Lonchura striata: one gene and its partner. The protein of the gene in region 1 interacts with the protein of each later gene in a pairwise test. Links are inferred from orthologs where the notes say so. Each region holds a gene or a part of one and is shown in the gene's direction. Other genes may lie near its edges.

Region 1 (10,109 bases):
TGGTTTGTAGGTCAAACCCAGCAATTCAGCAAAAAATACAGTGTTACAGCTTTACTGTAACTCGATATCATGGAAGTGATTTAATAATGAACATTTTCCTCACCTAATTATTGTCTAATTGGCAGGACACTCAGGTTGTGGGAAGCTGCTTGGGAGTTTTGCTGCTGAGGAGTGGAAACCTCTGTGGAGTGACTAAAAATGTCACTTATTGTGACAGGAGCCAGGCCATCCCTGGGTGGCTTTGCCCCTCGTTTCCCTGGGGATTGGCTCACACTTCCCATGGCCGATTTTTATTTGAGGAAAGCTTTTTTTTTTGATGTCCACGTTTTGCTGGGACAATTCATCCAGCTGAGCTCAGCAGCCTGGGAAGCACCTCTGTTTGTTCATTGTCTCTCCAAACAGGACAGAACATTCCAGATCCATTCCCATGAGTGCTCAGCAGGGGGAATTCCTGAGATGTGCTGGGAAGCTCTGTCTGATACAGCCCGTGGACCTTCATCCCTGCCAGGGAGCACTCCAGGATTTTCTGAGGAACACCTGGAGTGGGAGAAAAACTCTGTCTCCAGAGCTTTGCAGTGCCCAGCTTGTAGGGAAATGCAGGATTTCACCATCCCAAGGGTTGGAATTTGCCTCTGGATGAGGTTCTGGCTGACCTGGGTTGCCCCGAAGAGCAGCCCTGCCCTCCTGCCTCTGCCACGTGGAGCTGTGTGGAAACCTGCTCAGGGACATTCTGCCACCCTGGCCACAACTGGACATCTCCACTCAGTTTATTTTACCTCTCACACCTGCAATGGTAGAGCTAAAAATAATTTTGGATGTGTTGAAATGGATGCACGTCCAGAATGAGGAGACGGTCAAATTCCGCTTAGAATCATAGAAGGATAAAATCCTCTAAAATCTGTAGGTGGAATGAATACCCTTCAGGCTTTGACAATCCCCCCAGAAGTACTCAGCTATTAATACCTGACCAAGTAAACGTGGTCTGGGGCAAACATGAGCAGAGCTGGGCAAACCTCAGCTGTGTGGGGAGCTGTGAGAGATCCTGGAAGATCCCAGCCAGGCAAGTGTAAACACAGGGTTTGTGCCAGGGGGACATTTCTCAGAAGGGAAGGAGCCTCCCATCATTTGATTTTTTTTCCCAGGTTGTGTCCAGGGAGGTGGAGGAGTCTGTAAAAATAAATAAGAGAACATCAAGATCATGCCTGACCCTTCTCACCTTGTTCCTCAGACTGGCAGAAGGGACCCTACAGGACCATGGACTTTGACCAGACGGGTGGCAAAACGTGTCACAGCTTCTCTCTCTGCTGAGGGAATGCAGGCCCTTTTCTTCCATCCCTGTTCGTGAAAATTAGGAGTATTTTTATTGAACAAAATGGAGTTTACTCAGCAGAAACCAGAATGAGATCAGAGTACTGATACAGAGGTAGCTGAAGTAGGTCCAGGAGCAAAACCCACTTGGTGCTGCCTTGTTTTGTGTCATAAACCATAGAAAAATCTGAGGGGATTGAAAATGGCTGTGGCATCTGAAAATTAAATGATGAGCTTCTCCTCATATGCTGCTACAGCACATTTACAAATAATATAAATATTCTCTTGGTTAAAGAGGTGTTTTATATAAATTTTTCTTAAGCATCACTGTCACAACATAGGACAGGCTGTGTTCATAAGGCTGGGTTTGTTTCCCTTTCCAGTTACAAGAGATATTATAGAGAAAATTAACAAACCTAAGCAGAAAGAAAAGAATAAACAGGGGACCTTCAAGTACTCTTTTTACTTGGATGTAATTGAGGATTTTATCCTTTGGAAAGAAAATGATTCTTCCAGCAAATACTCTGGAGTGCCTTCTGTGCCCTGCTCACATCTTCCCCATCCCTTTTTCCTGTGTCCTCATGCTCAGCACTGAGGATAATTATGGATGTCTGTCACTTGTTTAAACAAAAGCTTTGTTTGGCAACCTTTATTTTTCTGCTGCAGCTGCAAAACTGTGTGCACAGTGTGTTAATTTTTTACCTTTGATGCTATGGGAAGGGTTTTTTTCCTTAATGAAAAAAAAACAAGGAAACCAATGAATGAGTTCCCAGTCTCTCCTGATCCACACAAAACATGTGAAAGCAGCAACTTCCTTAGAAAACAATAGTAAATGAATGCTGAGAGCAGGGTGAAATAAACTGGATACTTCCTGGAAGCAAATTACTCCTCCTAACATGGCAAAGCACAGACATAAAATGCAAGAGTTCAGAAAAAAAAGAGCACGAAAATGTGAGGAAATAAAACAACAAAGAAATCCCTTGTTTTATTTGGGACAACAGACTAACAGGGCAACAGGGGGTATTTTCTCCTGTAAAATTAAAAAATTAAATTATATATTAGCAGCCTGAAGTTTTCAGTTGCTTTTATATGAGGACAGGAAATTAAGAAAATTAGAATGGATTTGATGTAGGCATTTGAGCAAATTATCATGGTTTAAATCAGAATAAACCTTCCAGTGTATCAAGTTCTTCTTGGCATTTGCTCATAGGCAGACCTATCCCAGGGTAAAGTGAAACCCTCATTCACTAAATGGGGATTACAGTGAATTTCTTTCAATTATTGCAGAAATAGTCACAGGAGCTCAGTTTTGGCAGCAGCTGAAGCTCAGGAGATTGTGAAGGAAGCAATTACCCTTTGGTCAGTCACTCACTGGTACTGGGAATCAAAAACTGAAAAGCCAAATCTGGGCCTCCAGATTTAACAGAAAGATCCTTTTCCTCGTGTTTGCAGTCAGACTTTGTGCTGCACAAAGTGTTTATCACTTCTGGCTGTGCAGTCTCAAGGAAACACGAGGTAAACCATGATAAAAGAGTCTGTCTGTGATTTAGTGGTGTCATCCATAATTTAAAAAATAAATGCCTTCTGGTTTGGAAAAAAAAAAATCCAAATTAATTTCTCTGGTAAAGAGGGAAAAACTCTTCCAAGGGGTGAGGTAACTGTGGATTCTCAGCTGCTGGATCAGAGTGGATGGGCAGGAGGAGGTGCTGCAGCCTCCCTTGGGGATAAATTGTTTTATTTGTTTATTCTGCTGTTATCTCTGATCAGAGTCGCAGACATCAGTCGGATCCCGCCAGTATTTCCTGCAGTTAATTTGAGCCAAATTAACTTTGGGTAAATACCATAACTGGTTTATGACCATGCCAGCTTTTCTGTTTGTGTTGGGAAAGGATTCATGGCTCTCCAGGGCAGAAGCACCTCACACCTCCAGCAAACAGGAGTTTATAATCTTTGGGATGGTAATATGATGAAAATATGAGAAAGCAGGGCAGCTTTTACCATGGGCTGGTTTAGGGTGGCAAAAGCTTTTACCAGTAGCTCCCACAGCAGCTGGTAAATATTTGTATCCCTGTTTTTCCAGCTGGGACCTGCAATTGCTTGAGTCCAGCAGAAACCCTATGGCAAAACTGTTGCAGGGCAAATTGGTGTAGCAAAGCGTGAAATAATCTGGTGTGAAAAGTCAGATTCTAAGTAGTTTAACCTTTGAACTGCCTAATCTGCTTGTGAAGGGGGAGAACATGGTAAATAAATCAACAGCTGCATGAGGGAACAATTTCCCAACACACCAGGCCTGCAGGTGTCTGGAGAACCTCTTACAGCTGAACCAGAGTGGATCCAGCTGTGTGACATGGCACTGGAGAACCCCATTAAGCATCTCATTTAGGAATCTTTATTAATCTTATTTAGGGAATGCTTTAATGCAGAAGTCTGCAAGTCGCTGCTAGCTACGGTGAAGCTGAAAAGTGAAGCGTGGTTGGTCTTTATTGGGCAACACTGTGCTATAAAAAGACAGAAATTTGCCTAATCTTTGTCCTCTTTGCATATGCTTCCTCCGTGCTTCTTTTTTGGAGGCTCTTTGCATATTTTTATCGTGCCCAGAAGGTTCCCGGTGCATTCCCACCTTCACCCAGCCCTCCTGTTCTCGCAGCACGCACAGCAGTGACAGAAGAGCGAGGCTGACGAGCCAATTTAGCAAATTCCCACTTGCTGCCTGCTGCTCAGCCTGCTCCGGGCACGGTGACGTTTCTGTCCTTAGCACGACAGTGACATCCACGAGGAGTCTGATGGAAGCAGCAGATGATGGGGAAGGTGTGAATGATTTTGGAGGTGCAGATTCCTGTTCAATCTGCCGGCTCTGCTGGCTGAGCGCTGTGGACGTTGAGGGGCTGGAGCGTGTCCAGGGAAGGGAACGGAGAATTCCTAAGGGAGATGGGAAGGAAATGGAAAAAGGCTGGAGAATTCCTGGGGGAGCTGGGAAGGGGCTGGAGAATTCCTGAGGGAGCTGGGAAGGGGCTGGAGAATTCCTGAGGGAGCTGGGAAGGGGCTGGAAAATCCTGAGGGAGATGGAAAAGGGCTGGAGAATTCCTGAGGGAGCTGGGAAGGGGCTGGAGGATCCTGAGGGATTTGGGAAGGGCCTGGAGGATCCTGAGGGAGTGGGAAAGAGGCTGGAAAGTTCCTGAGGGAGATGGAAAGGGGATGGAGAATTCCTGAGGGATGTGGAGAATCCTGAGGGAGCTGGGAAGGGGCTGGAGGATCTTGAGGGATTTGGGAAGGGGATGGAGGATCCTGAGGGAGCTGGGAAGGCACTGGAGGATCCTGAGGGAGCTGGGGGGCTCAGCCCGGAGCAAAGGAGGCTCAGGGACCCTCCTGGCCCTGCTCAGCTCCTGCCAGGAGGGGACAGCCGGGGGGTCGGGCTCTGCTCCAGGAACAGGGACAGGAGCAGAGGGAACGGCCTCAGGGCCGGCTCAGGGTGGGCAGCAGCAGGAATTTCCCCATGGAAAGGGGCTCAGGGATTGGAAGTGCCCAGGGAGGGTTGGAGTGCCCATCCCTGGAGGTGTCCCAGGAATTCCTGGAGGCGGCACTCAGAGCTCGGGGATGGGGCACAGAGTGAATTCCACGATCCCGGAGCTCTTTTCCCCCCTCAACGCTCCCGGGATAAACCCTGCGATTCCATGATTCCCTGACTACACTTCCCGGCACGCCCCGCGCCACCCCCGCGCGTACTACAGGTCCCGGCGTGCTCCTGCGGGGGCGCGCGCGCTGCCCGCTGGGACTCGTAGTCCGTTCCCCCCCCCCCCGCTGCGGCGCCTCGGCGGCGGGGCAAGGGCGGGGGCAGCGCGCGGGCGCGCGGCGCGTGCGCGGCGCGGGGCCGCCGGCCGGATCTCTCGCGAGGAAGGACGCCATTATCGCAGCCGCCGCACAAAACACCACGAGAACTCGGCGCCCGCCTCACACGGTAACGCGGCGCCCCCGCGGGCGGCAGCTCCGCCGCGCCGCCGCCCCCCCCGGCCCCGCACGGCCCCGCACGGGGGGCACCGCGCACACACACACCGCGATCCCCACACCCCCACCCCCCCCGGGCCCTGAGCCGGCGGGGAGGGAGCGGCCGAGGCGGGGGGACCCCACTCCGCCTCACCCACCCCCCATCCCTCTGTTCATCCCCGCCGTGGTTCCATAGCGGGGAGAAATCCTGCCCTCAGTGAGGGTGCTGAGGCCATGGCACGGCGTGCCCGGAGAAGGTGTAGCTGCCCCCTGGCAGTGCCCAAGGCCAGGTTGGACAGGGCTTGGAGCAGCTGGGGTATGGTGGAAGGTGTCCCTGCCGTGGCAGGGGTGGAGCGGGATGAGCTTTAAATCCCTTCCACCCGAAGGTTTGGCTGTGCTCCTCCGCGGGGCTGTGTCCCCTGTCCCCCCGGGCTGGGCTGGGCTGGGAGCGCTCCTGGGAGCAGCAGCGTGTGCTCCTGGCAGGGTTTGCACATCCACAGCAGCGCTGCTGGCTTCTGTCCCCTTCACAGCAGCCAGCTGTGACACGGAGGGCTTCAGATGGGATGTGAGAAGGAATTCCTCCCTGTGTGCCTTTCCCTGGAGCTGCCTGGGATAGTGGAAGGTGTCCCTGCCGTGGCAGGGGTGGAACGAGATTTAAAATCCCTTCAAAATCCCTTCCCACCCAAACTCTTCCAGGATTCTCTCAACACACTCGTATCCCTATGCCCTTATTTGCAATTCAAGCGTTGCCTCCTTTTCCTCCCTCTCCTCCCCATTTTTTTTTTTTTTTGTTTTATTTTTAAATCCATCCACAGTGGCAAGTTGTGTACTTCACCAAATATAGTCATTTTATCCTGCTATGGCACGGATAGTTTATGGATCAGTTTATTTTTGGAGCTCTCCAGGGAAGACTTTTTGAAGTAAACAAGGGTTATTTGCAACTGAGAGATTCCTTTGGTGGAAGCAGCTTTAAAATGGTATTTTGGAGTGTTTTTTGGTACTTTCTTGCCTTCTGTGTGAGGATACCTGAGGTGTGGTGCCCTGTAGATTCCAAGAGAGGCAAATCTGACATCTGTGTGACTTCAAATATTTCAACCAAGATTTTAAAATATCAAACAAAAAAGTGTCTGAATTTCACAGAGAAAACCGAAAATTTTCTCTGCTAGGAAGTTTATATATATATATATGATTATATATTTTTAAAACAGTTGTTTACAGAAATTCACCAGAATAACAAGCCTTTGATTCTGAAACCCTGAGTAAATTTCCCCGCAATAAACGGAAGTAGTTTCATTTTCAGTAATAGATGTTAATAGGAAAGATTAATTAATTTATTGAGAGAATAAAAAGATGGAGGTTAGATTTGTGAAACATTCCATCTTCTCCAGAGGACAAAAAGATTTTATAACTTTGTTTTTTCAGTTTATGATCTCTTCTACAGCTGGGTGTTCTGTCTGAATCACCCAGCCATGTGAAAGCTGTGTGCTTCCAGAGCAGGTGTTAATTAAGGTTCTTTTAAAGGGCTAATTGATTAATAACATCCAGAGTAATTTAATAAAACCATTAAAGGTGTGCTGCTAATTAGCAATGCTCACAGCTGCAGCTTCCAGAGGCACCTGCTCCAAGAAATAAGTTTGGAAGAGGCTCTTTTCCTGCCTGTGCTGCTTTTACCCTGCTTTTTCTGGAATTTTGGGCAATCAGGTGAGGAAAAATGAGCATTTATTCAGAGCTGCTGCCTGTGGATTTACCTTGGCTTGGGAAGGAGTGGTGGTGTCCCATGGGATTCACACCCAGGGAATTCCAGGAGTTTGCCTCTGGATTTTCTCTTGAGCTTCCTCCCCATCTCATAAAACTCTGTAGGTGCAGGAACAGCACATATCTTTATTGTGTCAAAATTCCAGGATTTTCTTTTATTTTATCAGAATTCCAGGTTTTCCTTTATTGTGTCAAAATTCCAGGGTTTTCTTTTATCAGAATTCCAGGGTTTTTCTTTATTGTGTCAGAATTCCAGGGTTTTCCTTTACTTTTATCAGAATTCCAGGGTTTTCATCTCTTTCCTTGGAGGAACCCTGGAACTGGAAATGCTGGGATTGAGCCACTTGTAGGAGGAGACAGAGCAAAGCCAGTGGTTGGAAATAAACCACAAAATGTCTTTGTATGCAGAACTTTGCCAATAAAATTTTGGTCACAGGTCGATTTCCTTTAGTTTGAAACTCAATATTTAGTTATTGACAGTTGAAATAACCTTATTTTCTCCTTTATCCATACTTGTTGAAAGGTTAATTATCACTTCCCCCCCCCCCTCCACTTTCTTTCCCAAGTAAAATAAAAGGAATAAAATATCTTCACAGTCACATGAACTACTTGTTTCCTTGCAGGTTTAGGTTTTTAAAGTGCTGGAAAATAGTGAATTTTGCAACCAGTTAGACTGAAAAGCATACAAAAAGGTTTAACTTCATCACACCCTTGGTATGTGGGACTTGAAATAAAATAATTTGTGGTGGTGTCTGTTGAACAGAATCATTTGATGTTGCTTCCTGTTTGTAACCCCTGATTTAGAGCTCTGGGCTGGGGACAAGGTGGGGATGGGGCACAGGGTGAATTCCACGATCCCAGAGCTCTTTTCCACCCTCAACAATCCTATGAAAATAACTTGGATTTTGAAGAATTGCTCAGTTCGTGTTTCCCTACTGAAATGATGCTCCTCAGTTTATTTTCATTCCTACTTTTGGCAAGAATTTGAGAATCCTGCTGTCTCTCTGTTACACAGCAGTGCTAAGGTCTGGTTTGGCAGCTGGAATGGTTTCTTTTCCTTGATGCCTGCAGCAGGAAAATCCATTAGAAGACTTTGGAGTGAGCAGGTTGTATTTGATGTTGGCTTTTCTGCTTTTTTTTTTGTAGTAGCAGCAGCCTATGCCAACACCAGGGGCTGTCCTTGTCTCTCTCCTCTGGAATTGCTGGATCAGAAACTTTTTTTCCAGTGTATTGAGGACTAGTTGTGCACATATTAGGAAAAAACGAGGAAAAAAACCCTATAAATTATTATTATTAATCTCTTGTTGCTAAAGGTAAGCTGGCAGGCCAAGAGGGAATGGCCCTAAGCTGAAGGAGGGCAGGGATAAGTGGGATATTGGGAAGGAATTCCTCCCTGTGAGGATGGGGAGCCTTGGCAGAGGTGCCCAGAGCAGCTGTGGCTGCCCCTGGATCCCTGGCAGTGCCCAAGGCCAGGCTGGATGGGGCTGGGAGCACCCTGGGATGGTGGAAGCTGGATGAAACTAATCCTGGATGTTTGAATTTCCTGGAATAATGGAATTCCCTGAGCTGGAAGGGATCATCCAGTTCAGGACATTCCCAAAATCCCACCCTGGGCATCCCTGGCAGCGCTGTCCAACCTCTCCTGGAGCTCCTCACCCTCGGGCTGTGCCCATTCCCTGGGGAGCCTGAGGAAAAACCTTTTCGTAATATCCACCCTAAACCTGCCCTGGAAGTCCGTGCAGGATTTTTTGGAGCTGTTCCCAATAAAAATCCTCCATCTAGTGGCTGAAAACAAGAAAACAGCAGGACAGGATTTGCTCTCTGGGCAGCTCTGCTCTCACTTTTGCTGCTTTTCAGCAAATTCTACAAATTGTGCCTGGTGTGAATGATCCCTGTCGGGAATAATCCCACCAGGATCCCCAATTGCAGCCTCTGCTTTAAGACCTGCAATCTGCAAGCATTTAGCTCCTTCCCGGGCTGGGTTCAAGGGGATTAAATGGCTGTAAATTGAATTCAGGCCTCTGTGTGTGTGTGTGTGTGTGTGTGTGTGTGCTGGGACACGTGTGAACATTTCCTGCCCAGCTCCTGGGGAACAATCCCATCCAGGCTGTGCCACGGGGGGCTGGCACAGGGCACCGGGGTTTGGACAAGATCCACAGGGAATTTGGGCTGCAATTCCTGCTCTCCGTGACCACCCACTGCCCTTCCTCGTGCCTGGGAGGCACGGAAGGCATTCCTGGATTATTTGTTGGGTGTTGTGTTAGGATTGGTGCCAGGGTTAGGAGATTTGGGAAAAGACGTCCAAGCAAAACCGTGCCTTGTACCAGGTGGAATGAAAAAAAAAACCAAAAAAAAACAAACCCTAAAAAGCAAATATTTCTGAAGGGAAAACAATAAACCAACAATAATAATAGGAGCTTTTGTGGTAATACTTGAGAATTTCTGCCTGCCTGGTAGGTTTTCTACTCCAGAAAGTTTCCAGCTCCTTTATTCCTGGAGCAAACATTTCCTTTTTTTGATTGCTAGCTGAATTTTACCACTTGCACTGGAGTTTATCACCATAATACCACTGTGAGTGATATTTATTTGATATATCCATCTCCAGAATGTTGTGGCTGGTGTTCTGGTTTTCCCAGATAGGGAATATTTCTATCATTTTTTTGGGAGAATAGACATGTTGCCTGATCTTTAGCTGAATCAAGGTTGCTTGTCTACTATTACACTCATTTTTAAGCTGTTAAAACTGAAATGTTTGTGTGGTTTTACTATGAAGTTTAATTGAAACACTGTGTTTTTCCTTTTCTTTTAAGGTGGATTGAGGATAAGGCTGACAGCCAAACAGATGCTAAGAAAAAATTATTCTCTTTTGTTGTTTTGGGTAGCAAGAAGGAAGTGTAAATCCAATCTCTTCCTCCTAAAATGAGTTTTAATTCACATTGTGAAAGGCTGCAGAGAGCTGGGGCTCAAAGGAGGCTCTTGGATTTATGGTGCTCTTAAATTGTGTTTTATTGTGTTACATTTGCACTGGTGTGGCTTTTTTGGGAATTGGTGCAGGAAGGCTCTGT
Region 2 (9,925 bases), on another chromosome or scaffold:
GGCCACTGCAGCACAGGCAGGTCTCGGTGCTTGGGACTGCTGTGGCCACGGGTACCTGGGGCAGATCCTGTCCCGGTTCTGCTGCTTGGGCAGCTCACGGCACAGAGGTTCTGCCAGCCCTGCTTGCCCTGGCACCACCTTTCAGCATCAGCAGGGCTGGACACAAGATATCAGCTCTGAGCGTAGCAGAGCTATGCCTTGGGGTACAGGGGTCCCAGCTGTGGCTGTGCTCTCTGAGGCTGAACTGCACAGCTTTGGGCCCACCTCTGTCCTCCAGCACCCTTGCAAGCTCACCAAGGTCCTCAGACTCAATACCCTCGTTTAGAGATCCCCCATTAATGTTTTTCTTGGTTCTGCCTTTCAGGAGGAAATTGCCAAGTACGATAAGATTTGTGAGGAGGCCCATGCCAGATCCAAGGATGAGAAGATCTTGCACATCAAACACTGGCTGGACTCACCTTGGCCAGGTAAGTCACTAGCAGCGATTTAGAGGCCATAGCAAGGCACCCGGCCTCTCTAGATCCATGGCAGAGATTTTCTAGTAAGCCACCCCACAGGGGAGGTTAGTAGTGCCCTTCCCGTTCCTGGTGTCTCTACCTTTGCTTGAGGGTGTCTGTGACCTGAGGTCTTCCCATGGATCTGGCACGTCTCCTGCAGCATGGTGTTTCTCCTTCTCTGACAGGTTTCTTCACTTTGGACGGGCAGCCCCGGAGCATGACCTGCCCTTCCACTGGCCTCAATGAAGAGGACCTGACGCACATTGGTCAAGTGGCCAGCTCAGTGCCGGTGGAGGATTTCACTATCCATGGAGGTAGGAGCTTGTGAAAGCTGTGCCAGACTGGGCATTTGTTCTGGAGAGATGTGAGATAGGGCTGGGATGTGGCCTGGAAGGAAGGGACATACTGGACTGCTTCAATATGGGTGGGTAGCAGGTCAAGGGTGGGGATCCTCTCCCTGGGTGCTGCATTCTTGAGACCCTGCCTGGAGCTCTGAGGGCCTCAGAACAAGCAAAACCCGTGGGCTGGTTGTGGAACAAATCTGGTGTCACTGGAGCTCTGTCTTGTGCTGCCTATGAACCAGTTCCTGTCCCGGCAGGTTTGAGCCGTATTCTGAAAACCCGTGGGGAGATGGTGAAGAACCGGACAGTTGACTGGGCCCTGGCAGAGTACATGGCATTTGGCTCCCTGCTCAAAGAGGGCATCCACATCCGCCTGAGTGGCCAGGATGTTGAGAGGGGGACATTTAGGTAAAACCCTGCTTTTGGAGGCTTTAAAGGCAATTCCAGCCCTTCTGGAAGGGATCCAAAGGCTGATGATGAAGTTACTCTTCTCCCTTTTCCAGCCATCGCCACCATGTCCTTCATGATCAGAATGTGGACAAGAGGACCTGTATCCCCATGAACCACCTCTGGCCCAACCAGGCTCCGTACACTGTCTGCAACAGCTCCCTGTCAGAGTACGGTGTCTTGGGTGAGTGAGTGGGTATGTGCTCACTGCCCAGGGTGATGCCACTCTGGAAGGGCAGCCCAACCCTCTCACTGCTCTTCCGTTTCTCAGGATTTGAACTGGGGTTTGCCATGGCCAGTCCCAATGCCCTGGTGCTTTGGGAAGCCCAGTTTGGGGATTTCCACAACACTGCTCAATGCATTATCGACCAGTTCATCTGTCCCGGGCAGGCCAAGTGGGTCAGGCAGAACGGCATTGTCCTGCTGCTTCCCCACGGCATGGAGGGCATGGTAAGGCTCACCCTGGAGGTGGAACCCTGGACAGCAGTGGCACTACTCATGATGTGGGAGTGCCTGACTTCGGGTTCTCATGCTTTCCTTGGCCTGCAATGACCTTCTGCCTTCTTGGTCCCCATAGGGTCCCGAGCACTCCTCTGCCCGCCCAGAGCGATTCCTGCAGATGTGCAATGATGATCCTGATGTCTTCCCTGTGAGTGGTGGCCCCCATGGTGTGGTGCTCAGCCTGGCCCTCCTGTGCCCTGGATTGAGCTCAGTGGAGGGCAGCAACACCCGTGTGGGCTTAGCACAGTGGGAGCTGATGGCAGGAGGCATGGGATGCCTTGGTCTCATGCTGGCTGGAGGGTGTGGGGAAAGAGCCTGAACCTGGTGCCCAGGCTGCACCTCCATGGAACCTGGGGCTGTGGCATAGTCCAAGGGAGAGGTGGCCCTGAAAGTGGCATGAGAGGGGGTTGCTGGCCACCCTTATGGCCAGACCAAGGTGGAGAGCACAGCCCTGGAGCCTCTCCAGGATCTCTGTGTGCTCTGAAGAGTGAGAGAAGGGGAGGGAGGGGAGGGAAGGAGGGAGGGGAGGGAGGGCTGGGGACCACTCCTCTACCTCCTACTGGAGCCACAAGGCCAAGAGGTACCTTGTGTTTCCTGAAATCCCCTCACCCGTTCTGGCCAAGACAGAAGCTGGATGACTTTGATGTGCGTCAGCTCTATGAGTGCAACTGGATTGTCGTGAACTGCTCCACTCCAGCCAACTTCTTCCACGTCCTCCGGCGCCAGATCCTCCTGCCTTTCCGCAAACCGGTCAGTGCCAGCAGCTCCATGCCCAGCTTGGTGCCCAGGCAGGGTGCTGTCTTCCTGTTGGATATTTCCCTGGACTGGGATTGGGCTGGGTGCAGCTTCTTCCTGCACCTCAGACATGGGCAGTTGGCTGCTGCCTGGCCAAGGAGCTTATTGTGCTCAGGACTGGCTTGGCGCTTGATGTACGGCTGCTGTCTCATGTGGGTTGCAAGGGCTGTGACCCCTTCCCAAACTCCATGGGGAGGTCAGGGCTATTGAAGCCAACAGACACTGCTACATGACCTACTTCAGCCAGTTCCAGTCAGCTCTAGCCATGGGACAGGCTGGAAGCCCCTCCGCCTCTTCCCCAGGGGACATCCCAGCTGGGATGGTTGGTGCTGTTGGGAATCGGTGCCCAATCTAGCAGAACACTGCAGCTGAGTTGAGAAGCAAATCTCTGGCAGCTGCTCCCTTGCTCAGGCAGGATGGGCAGGGGAGGGCAGGCAGGTGGCTGCTCCAGCACTGGCTTGTAGGGGAGGTGTTTCTGGCAGGTCTGACCACATTGCTCTGCCTCTTCTCCCCCACTCCAGCTGATAATCTTCACTCCAAAGTCACTGCTGCGCCACCCCGAAGCCCGCTCCAGCTTTGATGACATGCTGCCAGGTACAAGTAGCACAGAGCTGCCTGTGTTCTCCCACGCTGCTCCGCAGGGTGAAGGGCAGGAGTCTGTCGCCTTGGGTAAAGTCTGCCTGACAGCAGCCTCCCCATGGTGGAGGCTGGCCGAGTGAGGCCAGGGCCTCCTTGGCACACCAGAGCCTCATTAGGGCTGAGCCTGGCACCCTTGGGAGACTTGGCTCCATGTTGCTTCCTCCATCAACAGCCACTTGCAGCTGGGATTTGGTAGCCCCAAGTGGCATGTGATGGTTTGTGGTGGGAGTTGTGCCTGCTGTACCTGGGTCAACTGACTCTGCCTCTCAGGGTCCTGGAAGGGGCTGGCATGGCATGTGGGTGCAGTGGCTGCTGGCACAGTGCTGTGAACTGCTGTGGCTCAGGGTGCCGTTCTCTTCTTTGGCAGGCACCCACTTCCTCCGTGTCATCCCTGACAGTGGCCCTGCAGCCCAGAACCCCGAGCAGGTGAAGCGGGTGCTGTTCTGCACTGGCAAGGTGTACTATGACCTGACCCGTGAGCGCAAGGCCCGGCAGATGGAGGCCGATGTGGCCATCACCAGGGTGGAGCAGGTGAGTAGGGTCCTTCTGCCACCATGATCTGTGGGCTGGGGGTTCTGTAGCCCCCGAGACACTGCCCCATGTCTCCTGTGACACCACTCTGTGTCCCCTGCAGCTCTCCCCGTTCCCCTTTGACCTCCTCCAGCGAGAAGCCCAGAAATACCCAGCTGCCGAGCTGGTGTGGTGCCAGGAGGAGCACAAGAACCAGGGTTACTATGACTATGTCAAACCCCGGCTTCGCACCACCATCAACCGTGCAAAGCCTGTCTGGTAAGGACACAGGGGGTGGTGAGAGGCTGGGAGGGAACTGGTCGGTACAGACCCTTCTCATGGCCCACCTTCTCCCTGGTAGGTATGCAGGGCGGGAGCCAGCAGCTGCCCCTGCCACTGGCAATAAGAAAACCCACCTGACAGAGCTGCAGCGGCTACTCGATACAGCCTTCAACCTCGATGCCTTCAAGGACCTGGCTTGAGCGCCGTCACGGCGCAGCATGCTCCTCCATCTGTCTGTTCATCTCTCTGTCCTTTGCTCGCCTCCCCCCCTCAACTACAGATCTTGTCAACCCCACACTGTTGCCTGGAGTCCTTGTCTGCCTCATGCCAGGGTGGCTCCAGTACAGCTGCCCTGGGAGCATGAGGGTCTGGGGGCTGCGTGCTGCCATGGTGGGTAAGACCCATGGCCCCCCAGACCCCTGGCATGTCTGGTCCCTGGGGCGCTTCTCTGGGGGTGTCCCATACCCCCCAAGAGGGGCTGGTCCCCACAGCTCTTCTGTGGGGGTGTCCAGTGCAATGAATCAGGTTCTGCCCAGTTCGTCTCAGTCTTGGACTTGCCTCTGTGCAGCCACTGCCTCTTGGAGGAAGGAGATAGTGCATCTGCACGTCCTGAGGGCCCAACCAGGTGTAAGAGTGCTGTGCCCTTGTCTCAGTTGTACCTGTCCTTGGGGAGCATGTTTTTCCCTCTGCGTCTGCACCATCCCCCGGCTGTGAGCCCCCACAGGGACAGACAGGGCGGGTGCTGGGTGGTGTGTCCTCCCATTGGAGATCCTGAGTGGGGGTCGAGGGAGGTGATCTCTCAAACGGGGATCATTGTTGGCATCTCCAGAGCCCACCGCGTCCTCCCACAGGACGTTCTTTGGGGGTGGGGGCGACGGGGGCAATCTCAGCTGGGATCTCGGAACCCACCGCCACTTTTCCGTGTGACTCAGGTCTTTCAGCTGCAGGAGGGAGGTCGGGGGGTTCGCGTGCCACGCCCCGTCACACACTCGTGGCTGTGCTGTCACATACAGGGTTGCACGCGATGTCACCGCGCAACGTCCACGTGGTGCGTGGGGCTCCGCGTCCCCGCGAGCAAACCGTCCGCACGCGTACACGTGTGCGAGGTGCCACATGCCCACGCGTGTCGCGGTGCCGCTGCTGCGGTGGCAGCGTCCGTGGCGCGGGGACAGCCAGCCCGTGATGCGGGCAGAGCCCGTGGCGCGGGGACAGCCCGTGGCGCGGGGACAGCCCGTGATGCGGGGACAGCCCGTGATGCGGGCAGAGCCCGTGGTGCGGGGACAGCCCGTGGCGTGGCCCCACGCGCGCTGCCCACGGCGCCCCGCACACGGCGCTCGCTCCCGCGCTCCCCCCTCCCGCAGCCCGCGCCCTTCCTCGGCGCTCGGCTATCCGCGCCTGGCCGGGCGGGGGCGGGGCCTGCATGCTGATGAGCGCGCGGCCCCATTGTGCGCGGCGGCGGCCCGGCCCCGCCCCTGGGCCCCGCCCCCCGCGGAGCCGCGGCCGCGCGCGGCTGAAGATCCCGCGCAGCCTCCGCGCAGCCGCGCGCGCCTCGCGCCGCCAGGGCCATCTTGGGCCGCCGCCGCGGTGAGAGCGGGAGCGCCGGGCGGGCGGACGGGGCGGGAGACGGGCGGGGCTGGCGGTGCCCCGGCGGGCCCCCCCGCCGTGCCGGGGGTGGTGGGGGTGGTTGCCATGGCAATGGGGGGGGGCCCGGTCCCGGGGCCTGTCCCCGCGGTGCCGCCGGGGAAGGAGCGGAGGGGGGCTGTCACCACCGGCGGTGCTATGGTGGCGGTTCCCGGGAGCCGGGGCAGGCCCGCCGCGGGGTGTTCCCTGTCCGTGTCTTTCCTCCCGACGCCCCCGTGTCCGCCGCCCTCCCGCGGCGCCGGGAGGAACCGAAAGCGCCGGTGACCCCGCGGCCCCCCGCTGCCGGGCCCGGCTGGAAATACCCCAGGCGCTGGGGCGCAATGCCGAGCCGGGGGCCCCGTCCCTTCCCCGGGAAGTCCCCGTGGTTCCCCCCGCCCGCAGGCGCGGGGGCAGCCCCCGGTGCCCGCCGCCCCGGGGAGGTCTGACGCCGCGGTGGCCGGAGCGGGGGGGCGGCCCGGAGCAGGGGCGGCGCGTGCCGGCCGGCGCCCCGTGCCAGCCGCAGGCCGGACGCCGAGTCCCGGCCGCGGAGGCTGGGGGGTCGCGAAGCCTACGGGCTGTCCCCCCGCTCAAGCCTCTCCGGGGGCGGCCGCCCCTCACCCGCCACTCCACTGCTTCCCGCAGCCCCAGTGACAGACGGTGCCGCCGTCCCGCAGTGCCCGCCGCGGCCTCGGAAGACCCAGCCCACACCCGCTGATGAGCTCCATGAACCCCATGAAACCCTCGCTGCCGCCTGCGCCCCACGGGTGGGCGCCGGGGCAGCGTCCCTCCATCCGCCCATCCACCCATCCATCCACCCATCCATCCATCCATTCATCCATCCATCCATCCATCTATTTCTCCATCCATTTCTCCATCCTTCCATCCATGCATCCATCCCCTTGTCTGTTCCTCCATCCCTTGCATTTTTCATCTTTTCATTTTCTCAATCCCTCCATCCCTCTGTCCTTCCATCCTTCTGTCCTTCATCTTCATTAATTTGTTTTTCTTTCTAGTGATGGTTCATTTGCATACGAGGCTGTTCCTTGGCAACCAAGCACCAATCAGCCACCGGGATCCCTCTCCGTGGTAACCACTGTCTGGGGTGTCAGCAACCCCTCACAGAGCCAGGTACCAGCAGCACCCCCTCCCCAGGCATCCACTGCACCTGCATGCCACTGCCCCTGCCTGACCCGCTGCCTCCCACTGCACCCTCCAGGTTTTTGGCAGCCCCATGGGCCCTGGGGGAAGCAGCTCCAGCACCCCACTGCTGCCTGGCATGGCAGGCACCAGCTCAGGCATGAGCTCACCACCGTTCTTGCCACAGCAGCCCTTTGCTGAGGGGGCACCAGCAAAGGGGTATGTGCAACCAAGTGTCTATGGGCGCACTGCCTACCCCAGTGGGCCGGGCTTCGCTGCCAGGTAAGGACAGTCCTGTGCTTTGTGGCCTGGTGTGTGCCCTGATGCAGGGCCACTGCATTCCCCTTTCTGCTTTTCTGTTCTCCAGCTACAATGGTGGCCCGAGTGGCCCTGGAGGGATAGGGCTCCCCTCGCATGCCAGCCGGGCTACTGCTGATTTCACCCAGGCAGCAGCAGCTGCTGCTGTGGCTGCTGCTGCTGCCACGGCCACGGCCACAGCCACGGCGACGGTGGCTGCACTGCAGGAGAAACAGAGCCAGGAGCTGAGCCAGTATAGTGCGGTAAGAGCCTGGCTGTGGCAGAACTGGGGAGCTGACAGCCCCCCTGCCCTGCCATGACTCTTCTCTCTTCGTTGCTGCAGATGGGCACAGGGCAGTCTTTCAGCAGCCAGTTCCTGCCCCATGCTGGACCCCGTGGCCCCAACAGCATGAGCCCAGCTGGCATGGCAGGTGTTGTGGCCCCCTCTGGTGTCTCCCCTGTGAGCATGAGCCCAGTGCGGGCACCCGGGACTGGCCCCCTTTATGGTGGACAGCGAGTGCCTCAGCACACCTACCCTGGACCTCCCCAGAGCCAGCAGCTGCCCCGCCAGGGCCTCAAGCGGGCATACTCTAGTGAGGTGAGCGCTGCGTTGGTGAAGGCTGTGGCACACGGTGACCCCCTTTCCCACTGGTGCTGACTCCCTGGCCCTACAGGGGTACCCAACACAGCAGTACCTCCAGGGCGGGCAGTACGCTGCAGCTGGTGCCCAGTATGCCCCCAGCGCCCCCCAGTCCTCCGCTCCGTCCCCCTCATACCCTGGCCACAGGCTGCAGCAGAGCATGGGCCAGTACCTCTCCACTTCAGGCGGTGCTGGACCCTATTACAAGGTACCACAGGGGGAACGGTGGGCAAGGGGTGGAGGTCTGGGTGTCCACCATCCCCCGGTGCCAGCCCCTGGAGACCCTCCTCCTCCCATAGCCAGCTGACCAGTTCAATGGGCAGAGCGCCAGCTTCAGCACCTACAGCCAAGCAGCCGTCAGTGGGGTGAGTCTGGCAGCGGGTGGGGTGGGGGCTCTGCTGGCCTGGCTGGACGCTGAGGGCAGATATGCTGCCTCTACAGCCGGGCAGGTCACTGCCGGGGTACCCCAGCTCGCCGCTGGCCGGGAACCCCACGCCGCCCATGACACCAGGCAGTGGTATCCCCGCCTATGCGTCCCCTGGTCAGGATGTCAAGTCGCCCTTCCTGGCAGACATGAAGCCCAGCGTTGCCCCCCTGCACCCGTCCCCTTCAGGTGGGTGTCCCTGGTGTGAGTGAGGGGGGTGTTTCACAGAGATGACCCCCATGCCCCGAGCAGTCCGGTGTAGACCTCGCTTCTGACAGCTCCGTGGCCTTTGCCCCTTTACGTGGAGGGTGGGAGAGGCGCCAGAGAAGAGGGCATGACCACTGCCAGGGTTTGGGGGCTGACTGAGGCAGGGGGTGGGCTGCCTGTGACTAGTGGGAGGGGCTTGTTAAAAGGGTGTGGCTCAGGGGGCAGGGCCTTATCAGGAGTGCTGGTTTGGTGGGGGGCTTCAGCTTTAAGAGTGGGACCACCTGGATCGGGAGGGGCTTGGATAGGGTGCAGTTTCCTGGGGCTAGCGGCAGGAATCTGCGGTGGGGTGGGTTTCCTCTACAGCGGTGGGAGTGGGGTGGCCCCCAGGGGTGGGGTCACTTCGGGTAGGAGGAGCTTCCTGCAATGCATGGGGTGCAGTTTCCGGGGTGGGCAGGGTAGTGTGGTGGAGGTTGGGCTTCCTGCAAGGTGGATCCTCATGCAGTGGGAGGAGCACGGCTGGGGCATGGCCAGGGTGTGGCTGGGGCACGGCCAGGGTGTGGCTGGTGCCCGGGGGAGGGGAAGGTGTGGGTTTCCCTGATGGTGGTGTACCACAGGGCCGGCCCCCGGCGAGGAGTTGCGACTGACCTTCCCGGTTCGGGATGGCGTGGTGTTGGAGCCCTTCCGCCTGCAGCACAACCTGGCTGTCAGCAACCACGTCTTCCAGCTCCGTGACTCTGTCTACAAAACCCTCATGATGAGGTGGGGAAGCTTTGTAGTGTCATGCAGTGCTGCTCGGGGGGTGCTGTATGGCACTGTGTGGAGTGGGGCTGTGCTGGGCAGCACAGCTAGGCACTACATGGTGCCATGTGGCACGGGGGTGTGTGGCCTGGTATGACTTGGCATGACACTGTCCTGCGTCATGGTGCGAAGCGTGGCACAGCTGTACTTGCCGTGGTTCAGCCTGCTGTCTTAGTGCTCAGCATGGTGGGACATGGTGGGCCTGGCACAGTGCTGTGCTGTGGTACTGTTGGAGTTTGTCACAGTGCCATATGACTCAGTGTAACATAGAATGGCTTAGCACTGCATGGTTCTGCATGGCTTGGAGCAGCATGGTGTGCTGACATGGTGGTGCCATGGCTCGCGTGCGGACACACCCCCTGCCCACACCCTGCCTGTCCCCAGGCCTGACCTGGAGCTGCAGTTCAAGTGCTACCACCACGAGGACCGGCAGATGAACACCAACTGGCCGGCCTCTGTGCAGGTGAGCGTCAACGCCACGCCACTCACCATTGAGCGTGGTGACAACAAGACCTCCCACAAGCCGCTCTACCTGAAGCACGTCTGCCAGCCCGGCAGAAATACTATTCAGATCACTGTCACCGCCTGCTGCTGTGTGAGTCACCAGGAGGGTACCAGGAGAGGGAGGGTGGTGGCTGGGGCCACAGCTCAGCCTCCCATCTCTCCACAGTCCCACCTGTTCGTCCTGCAGCTGGTGCATCGGCCCTCGGTGCGCTCAGTGCTGCAGGGGCTCATCAAGAAGCGCCTGCTCCCCGCTGAGCACTGCATCACCAAAAGTGAGCACCTGGGT

What was found. The genes of interacting proteins can lie anywhere in the genome.
Region 2: the proteins of BANP (region 1) and ZMIZ2 interact in binary tests that used the Homo sapiens proteins (3 or more experiments, as listed by UniProt). The two-hybrid records come from large-scale screens. The link is inferred for Lonchura striata from reciprocal best matches to the Homo sapiens genes BANP and ZMIZ2.

Annotation. Positions count from the first base shown.
Region 1 is NC_134615.1:21,987,175-21,997,283, forward strand, and holds the start of BANP (protein BANP), read left to right. Parts: upstream 1-5,161; 5' UTR 5,162-5,263; intron 5,264-10,109. UniProt on the Homo sapiens protein: Controls V(D)J recombination during T-cell development by repressing T-cell receptor (TCR) beta enhancer function. Binds to scaffold/matrix attachment region beta (S/MARbeta), an ATC-rich DNA sequence located upstream of the TCR beta enhancer.
Region 2 is NC_134634.1:5,447,581-5,457,505, forward strand, and holds the start of ZMIZ2 (zinc finger MIZ domain-containing protein 2), read left to right. Parts: upstream 1-5,505; 5' UTR 5,506-5,596; intron 5,597-6,137; exon of another isoform or gene 6,138-6,274; 5' UTR 6,275-6,346; coding exon 6,347-6,396; intron 6,397-6,645; coding exon 6,646-6,760; intron 6,761-6,848; coding exon 6,849-7,051; intron 7,052-7,136; coding exon 7,137-7,329; intron 7,330-7,409; coding exon 7,410-7,664; intron 7,665-7,740; coding exon 7,741-7,914; intron 7,915-8,005; coding exon 8,006-8,071; intron 8,072-8,147; coding exon 8,148-8,319; intron 8,320-8,951; coding exon 8,952-9,096; intron 9,097-9,519; coding exon 9,520-9,730; intron 9,731-9,805; coding exon 9,806-9,911; intron 9,912-9,925. Other genes in the region: OGDH (2-oxoglutarate dehydrogenase complex component E1), read left to right, coding at 365-467, 683-811, 1,096-1,246, 1,342-1,469, 1,557-1,735, 1,863-1,934, 2,414-2,536, 3,103-3,175 and 3 more. UniProt on the Homo sapiens protein: Increases ligand-dependent transcriptional activity of AR and other nuclear hormone receptors.